Linked DNA regions of Canis lupus familiaris. The protein of the gene in region 1 purifies or fractionates together with the protein of each later gene. This does not show direct contact. Links are inferred from orthologs where the notes say so. Each region holds a gene or a part of one and is shown on either strand. Other genes may lie near its edges.

Region 1 (3,560 bases):
TCTTTGAAGACATTCAAGAAACTGGCAACATTGGTTAATCCTGAGAAGGCAACTAAAAGTGGCCAGGGGGAGTGGGATTCCTCAATACACTTGCTTTTATACTCTGAGAATCAACTGATAATTCTTGTGGGCAGTCAGGTTTGAGAACCACAGTGCATAAGCAACATTATCCTGTCTGATCATTCTTTTCTGCAATCTGGAAACAGAGTCCCCATATACTGTAAACCAACCTGATGGTTTCTTAGCAAACCATAGCAGAATGTGTAGTGGACTCATCAGATGTTACTTGAGTGTTCTGCTAGCAAATGCTACCTCTCTCAATCTGTCAGCACCCAGCCTGTGCCCTGAGGTGTCCTCTGCGGGCAGAGAGAAAGACAGTGCTATTGGGCAAAATCTCAGCTCACCAGATACAGGTTTCTGCCCCTCTCTGTGTCACCACATCCCTATGAGTCAGCCAGACATGCGGTCCCCAAGCAATCTCTTCACCCACTGCCTTCACGCTGGTGAGCCTATCCCGCCCCCCCCCCCCCGCCCTTTTCAAATCTGCTCTTGTACATTGGTCTTCTTTATAGGAGACTGTTTGATGTATTTAAAGATAAAGAAAGAAGCTGAGGGGGAAAAAATACAAACAAGAAATGAAAAGGGTTGCAATGTCTCATCCTTAGCAACTTTGTTTGGTTAGTACTGCATAACTCACAGCCGATTCCAAGGCACTCGTTACATGCTCTAGGCAATATCAGTAACAAGGTGCAAAAGAGAACCACTGGCTCTTGCAAAGTCATCTCCAGTTTCTGGGTTAGGAGGACCATATTTTCTGTTGCCTCACATCTAAGTGGGGCCAGCTTGTCTGGTGACTTTGGAGGCTTATCCTGCTTATCTAATGGATGCATCCTATGTACTGAGCTACCACCACAACAATTTCATGAGAGATATAAGGAAAATCTACTGCTTCCTGCCTCCCACTTCAGTACGACAAATGTGTTAATAAAACCCCTACACGGAATTTCATACAAAGTAAGTCAAACAGTAATTATAGTGGCATGTGATGTATTTGGCTTAAAGAAGCTTGTGTTACTGAAGTTAATGCAAAAGTCTGGCCTCTGCTCATGGTGTTATTAAATATATATCCTAAGGGATCAGTCATCTATTATAAACGGTCATAGCCCTGGGTATAAATAAACATTTCTTTAGAGTTTGGCATCAGTTTTTCAGTGTGCTTCCTCAAAGCAGTTTGTTTGAGGGATCAGTTCTAGGGGTGCATCTGAACCGAGAGGTGTGCAAGGTAGCAACACCTGAAGCTGCCAGGTCCCACTGCTGGCGCTGGCGGTGGATAATTCAGGTCCCAGGGTGGAGGCGGGCTGTGGTCACAGGTGCTGCAGGGCTTCCTGTCCTTGCTCCGTGTAACTGTCATCACGGTGGGAGTTGGCCCACTGGCCAAACGACTCCTGGATGTGCACGTTCCTCTGCGTGTTGGCCAGACGCTTCTTATCTCGGGAGAAGAAGCTAAACCTTTTGGAAGGGAGAGAAGGAAATGAAAGCCAGCCCTCTGTGCACTTTAAAGATTTTTTTTGCAATGCCAGGACAGACAGCAGCAAATGTAGAAGGAAGCAAATCAATTCAAGGTGTGAAAGAAAAAGTGGGGGTGCAAGTCAAAGTTATTTGAGAAAGCAGCAGGGGATTCTGCATGTCATTGTCACCAAACCTGGGAGGTGATACAGTGTGAAAAGGGCATGTACATATGTGATGTGTGATGCATCTCATCTCTTGGTTAAGCACTGGTGACAGTCTCTTCCCATTATCAGTGGAAATAAAAACCAACTAGAGGGGCACCTGGGTGGCTCAGTGGTTGAGTATCTGCCCTTGGCTCAGGGCGTGATCCCAGGGTCCTGGGATCGAGTCCTACATCAGGCTCCCCTTGGGGAGCCTGCTTCTCTTTCTACCTGTGTCTCTCATGAATTAAAAACAAAACAAAACAAAAAACAACCCGACTAGAAATACACATCTGGAGTTTTTCTACCCTAATGATGCAGAGAAGGTAATAACTGAAAGCCACACAGAGTTTAAGATGATTCTGACATAAAGAGATGGATGTTTTTAATTTACGTTATGTAATGTGAATCAGGAAAGTACATATGCAGCACATCAAAGCCCAGATTTCATGGATATTACTGCTAGAGATGAGCTGAAAGTATTTTAGAAAAATGAGACAATTAAAAAATAAGTAATAGCACACATGGTTCTGTCATTAGATAAACACTAAATATTATATGCAAATGAAATTGGGGAAAACACCAATTTACAGTGTCAAAAATTGATTTGAGGGCAGAAGCCCTTAGAAGTCAGCACCAGAACTTGCTACATAGCAGCAACTAATGTAGACCAAGAGGTCTTTTTATTTTTATTTTTATTTTTTTTAAAGATTTTATTTATTTATTCATGATAGTCACACAGAGAGAGACAGAGAGGCAGAGACACAGGCAGAGGGAGAAGAAGGCTCCATGCAGGGAGCCCGACGTGGGATTCGATCCCGGGTCTCCAGGATCGCGCCCCGGGCCAAAGGCAGGCGCCAAACCGCTGTGCCACCCAGGGATCCCCAAGAGGTCTTTTTATTATTTTATTTTATTTTATTTTTTTAATATTATTCATGATAGTCACACAGAGAGAGAGAGAGAGAGGCAGAGACACAGGCAGAGGGAGAAGCAGGCTCCATGCACCGGGAGCCCGACGTGGGATTCGATCCCGGGTCTCCAGGATCGCGCCCTGGGCCAGAGGCAGGCGCCAAACCGCTGCGCCACCCAGGGATCCCCCCAAGAGGTCTTTTTAAAACATCTGTGATTACTGGGGCATCTGGGTGGCTCAGGTCATGATCTCAGGATCATGAGATGGAGCCCTGTGTCAGGATCTGCTCAGCATAGAGCCTGCTTAAGATTCTGTTTCTCCCTCTCCCTCTGTCCGACCTCCCTTTATCCCTCCCGCCCCACTCACTCTCTCTCAAAAAAAACAAACCCCAAACCAAAAATAGCTGTGACTACTGATCATTGATCAAAGTGAACCATCTGATGCCTGAAGGATGAAGGTAGAAATCACAGGCAAAAAGCTTATAAACTGGCCCATTTAAAAAAAGAAAAAAACTTTAAAAAAATTTTATTTTAAATAGGCTCCACACCCAATGTAGGGCTTGAACTCACAAACCTGAGGTTAAGAGTCACACGCTCCGGGTGTCTGGGCGGCTCAGTCAATTAAGTGTCTGACTTGATTTCAGCTCGGGTCATGATCTCAGGGTCTTCAGATTGAGGCCTGTGTTTGGCCCTGTGCTGGGTATGGAGCCTGCTTAAAATTCTCTCTCTCCTTCTCCCTCTGCCCCCCACCCAACCCCTGTGCCCTTTCTTAAAAAAAGGGGGGGGGGGCACACGCTCTGTGGACTAAACCATCTAGGCACTCCTAAACTGGCCCATTAATTTTTTTTGGAGGGGGGCTGGGGGAGAGGGAGATAGAGCATCTTAATCAGGTGCCACGCCCAGTGCAAGAGCTCGACACCGTGCTTAGTTCCACAACCCTGA
Region 2 (4,048 bases), on another chromosome or scaffold:
GGGGGGGGGCGGCAGGGTGTAAAAATATAGTTTTTACTTCTGTCTCAATCCCTGTTTCCAGATGTCTCAGGGTTTTCTCCTGTATCAGGACGAACCACAGGTTCAACTTCTCAGCCATGACATTCTAGGTGTGCTTTGCGGCGGTGCAACACACTGGGAATGGCAGGGCAGGAGGACGACTATTTAACCTACAGAAAGGAAGGAGAGGAAGAGGGAAGCATAAAGCCTGATGGGGGGAGCCCGAAGGAAGGGCTTAAGGCATATGAAAAGAGAGTGCCAGGAAGAGGCAGCGTCGGGTTGGGGCTGGCTTTAGTATCCTTCAATCTTGGACGCCGGTGGTTCGATTTTGGCGGCAGGGAGGGGCCGTGCTTCCCATGCATGGCGCTCGGGGCTCTCCCGTCTTCCAAAAGGACTGCAAGGCCTGCAGCGGGTTCTCGCCGTGGCGCCCGGCACCCAAGCCTCCACTTTGCGGGAAGGTCCTCCCCGCGCCCAGGTGTTCCTCAATCCTCCTCTCCTTGCCCTGAAAGGCGGATGACATCATCCCCACCTGAGCAGCCCGGCCAGTTTTTCCATTTCAAACTGCTGCTCTCTGGAACGTCAACTCTTGCTCGTTAAGCGGGATGGAGGTCTAAATGTTTCTCCCGTCACGATTAGCCACGAGGGCGGGCACTCCGGGGATGCGTCTCATTTTAGCAAAGAGCCCATTAACGACCCAGGGCGCCACTTTTTTCTCGCGTTTACGAGCCGCCGCTGCACCGGAACATATGGCCGTCCGAGCCTGTCAGTGCGCCGAGACCTTCAACTCGACACACGCGACAAACGGGACCGGGAGCCTCCGCAGCGTAGCCAGGAGGGCGACCCCCGGAAGACGCCCGGCGGGGTGTGGGGGGTGCCAAGGGGCTACTCCAGCGTGCCGCGCCTGCGCAGTCGCCAGGCAGCGCCTCCCCGCGGGGCGTGCTCGTAGCGCCGCGCACCCTATCAGGCGGCCGCAGGGAGCGCGCCCGCGGCCTCGCCCTCTCTCGCCCCTCCCCTCTCTCTTCTCCGCGGGGCCCTAGGCTGAGGCTCTGAGGCCCCGGCGCGCCGCTCCCCGCCCCCGCGTGCCCCGACACCCTCCGGCGCGCGTGCGCAGAGGCGATCCGCAGGGCGAGGGCGCGAGGGAAGGGCGGGCGTACGTCCTTGCGTGCGTCTCAGGCAGCGCGCACGCCGGCGTGAGAGGGCACGGGGAAAAGGTGGCTCTGGCCGGGGAGGCTCGGCTTCCTGTGGCTATGTAGCTGAGCTCGTCGGCTCGGGGTCCTCCTTCGCTGCCGCCGCCGCGTCCTGGCGCGGAGTTTCTGCTCGGGAGAGAGCCTGTCCTCACGTCCGCCGCGCTCCCTCGACGGCAGAGCTTGTTCGCTCGCCCGTGGGAGCGTCCCGGCCGAGCAGCCCTGAGGGGGGAGGGGAGGCCATTTTGTCCCGACCGACTCCCCGGAACCGGGCGGAGCGGCTGGGAGAGGCTGCGGAGCCGCGGTCGCCGCCCTCGGAGGCACCGGACGCCGCCACCGTCGGGGCTTCCTCGACGAGGCCGTTCGCAGGTCGCCCGCGCCCTCTCGAGCCCTCGTTTTTCCCACGCTACCCCGGTCCTCCGGCCTGAGAACGCCCAAGTGAGGAGTTGGCCGTCGTGAGAGGGACCGATCCCTTGGGGCCGCCGGCGGCGAGAGCCTGAGCCGCTCCTCCCAATGGCGAAGAAGACGTACGACCTGCTTTTCAAGCTGCTCCTGATCGGAGACTCGGGAGTAGGGAAGACCTGCGTCCTTTTTCGTTTTTCGGATGATGCCTTCAATACCACCTTTATTTCCACCATAGGTAAGACCTGTGGGAAGATGGTGTACGGTCTGGGTAGCTGCAGACCGTTTCTTTTAACTCCAGACATCTTGCTTCCCGTAATAAACGCCTTTGTTTCAGTGATTCCGATTCCAGGCGAACAGACCCAAGTTACTGATTGAATCGACATCGAGCTTGCTGGGGCGGGGTCTTCCCATGCTTTCCATCCGGTCTTTTGCTTTCGAGTCTCCCACTCTGTTCATTGCCTCTGTTGCAAAATATGCAGCATTAACCACGTTCCAAAATGCTGTTTCTTTAAGCGCCTGGACTGGCTTTTTCCATATCTGTGTGGCGTTAACTAGATGTACGATACTTGTAAGGGATTTATTTTAGGGGATGGGATGGAAGCCGTAGTAGTCGTTTGGTAAAGGCCTGGATTTAATACTTAGGGGCAGAGAGAAGGTTCCATATGGTCATAACTTAGAGTAAACTTGAGGGTTTGTGTGAGGAATAATTAAAGCAAATTAGAGGGGAAAAGTGAGTTCCCCCGCGTTGACTAATCCATTGATGTGTCAAACAATCGGAGGCTCTTCGTGCTTGGGGTGGGACTCAGTTGGCACGTTTGCCTCACAGTGCTTTTCCAGACATCAACAGGAGCAGTAATCTAAGAGAGATGATCATTTTCAGTCCTCAAACCCGAAAGAATGAAGTCCTCTCTTCCATTTGACTTTACGCTCCGGTTTATAGGAAAACATTTGGCCGGTCCTCTTAGCCCTAGAACTTCTCATGTACTTTCACCTCATGTTTCAGGATTACTTAGATTAGTAAGTAAGAACTAAAGATTGACCTTTTAAGTCGGTTTCCCGTTTTGGAAAAGAGAAGGCTCTAGGAAAGTCCCTTTGGACTCTGGTTAGAAAATTTAGTGGCATTAACACAATTTGTGTTAAACGAGTTGTGTGTGGAAACCGTCCTTTCCCTCCCCCCCCCGCCCCCCCAAATATCTTAAAGGACACATGGTTGCTCCTGTCATGTGGAGCCCAGCACTCAGCATTGGGGGAGTGCAGTGAAATCCAATTATAAGTGTAACTAGTTTTATATTTGAGACGATTTTAAAAAGCAACTCCAGTCTTCTCTGAACTCTGGGAATTGTCAAAATTAAGCTGATTTCAATTTATAGCATTACTGGAATGGTTGATTTGGATTTCTTAGGACAACGTTTTAATTCATTGTTACAAAATTATGCTGAAACTAAATTGGGCAAGTGATCATTTAAAATAGATTTTAATTTTACTCTTCTTTTTTTCTGGGGTGGGTAAGAGTCATTGCAATCATTATTTCATGTGTATCATACTATTCTTTTGACCTGTCATAAATTTAATGAAATTTAGAACTTGTTCTCTGCTTGTGGATTAGCCCCTCCTATCACTAAGTTTGCTTTTAATATTCCCCTTTTAGCTGTAGCTGGGTGGGTCAAGTGGTTAGATCAGCAAATATTTATTGAGCACCTAATGTTAGGCACGGTTTTAGGTACTCTAAGTGGTGAACACAATAGACCCCTTGAGCAGTCTAGTGAGGACAGAGTGTGGGAACTGCTACAGTAGGGATGCACATAGGGAGGAAGGGTGATTAGCCTGAATCATGGGGAGTCTTAACTAGGCTTGCATAGATATGGTGTTTGAAATGAAGCCTGCAGGACATAGGAATTGGGATGGGATAGGGCCTAGAAATTCTGGAAAAGGAACATAGTCTGTGAGATCAAGGATTTAATTTGTGTGGTCAACTTTAACCTGCTATTGAGAAGAGTAGGCGGAGAATGAGAAGCAATGCATTAAGCCCTATTTCAGTCTTTTTATAATGGGTACACACCCTCAAGTAGAACCCAGTCCTCCTGTAAGATGACACAATCTTGTGTAGTCCTTTTTAAAAGTTTTATTTGTGTTTTTGGTAATCTCTACACCCATCATGGGGCTTGAACTCACAACCTTGAGATCAAGAGTCTGTGCTCTTTCAACTGAACCAGCCACCCTGTGTAGTCCTTTTATTAGGGAAAATGTGTGGTGGCTTTGGTTTGAGCCTGCTGAGTTGGAATCCTACTTCCACAGTCTGTGGGCTTTGGCAAGTTACTTAATTTCTATGTGCTTCAGTTTCTTCTTTAAATAGGACCTACTACATAGGGTAGTTGTGAGGATTTTATGGATCAGGGAGGGTAGAGCATCTAACATGGTGCCAGGCACACTGTAGGAACAGA

What was found. The genes of interacting proteins can lie anywhere in the genome.
Region 2: the proteins of RILPL1 (region 1) and RAB10 purify together in Homo sapiens (co-immunoprecipitation; 3 studies listed by BioGRID and IntAct, with this or other methods). This does not show direct contact. The link is inferred for Canis lupus familiaris from reciprocal best matches to the Homo sapiens genes RILPL1 and RAB10.

The regions. Positions count from the first base shown.
Region 1 is NC_049247.1:6,343,711-6,347,270, reverse strand, and holds part of RILPL1 (RILP-like protein 1), read right to left. Parts: intron 1,510-3,560; coding exon 1,365-1,509; 3' UTR 1-1,364. UniProt on the Homo sapiens protein: Plays a role in the regulation of cell shape and polarity. Plays a role in cellular protein transport, including protein transport away from primary cilia.
Region 2 is NC_049238.1:20,245,909-20,249,956, forward strand, and holds the start of RAB10 (ras-related protein Rab-10), read left to right. Parts: upstream 1-1,222; 5' UTR 1,223-1,715; coding exon 1,716-1,842; intron 1,843-4,048. UniProt on the Homo sapiens protein: The small GTPases Rab are key regulators of intracellular membrane trafficking, from the formation of transport vesicles to their fusion with membranes.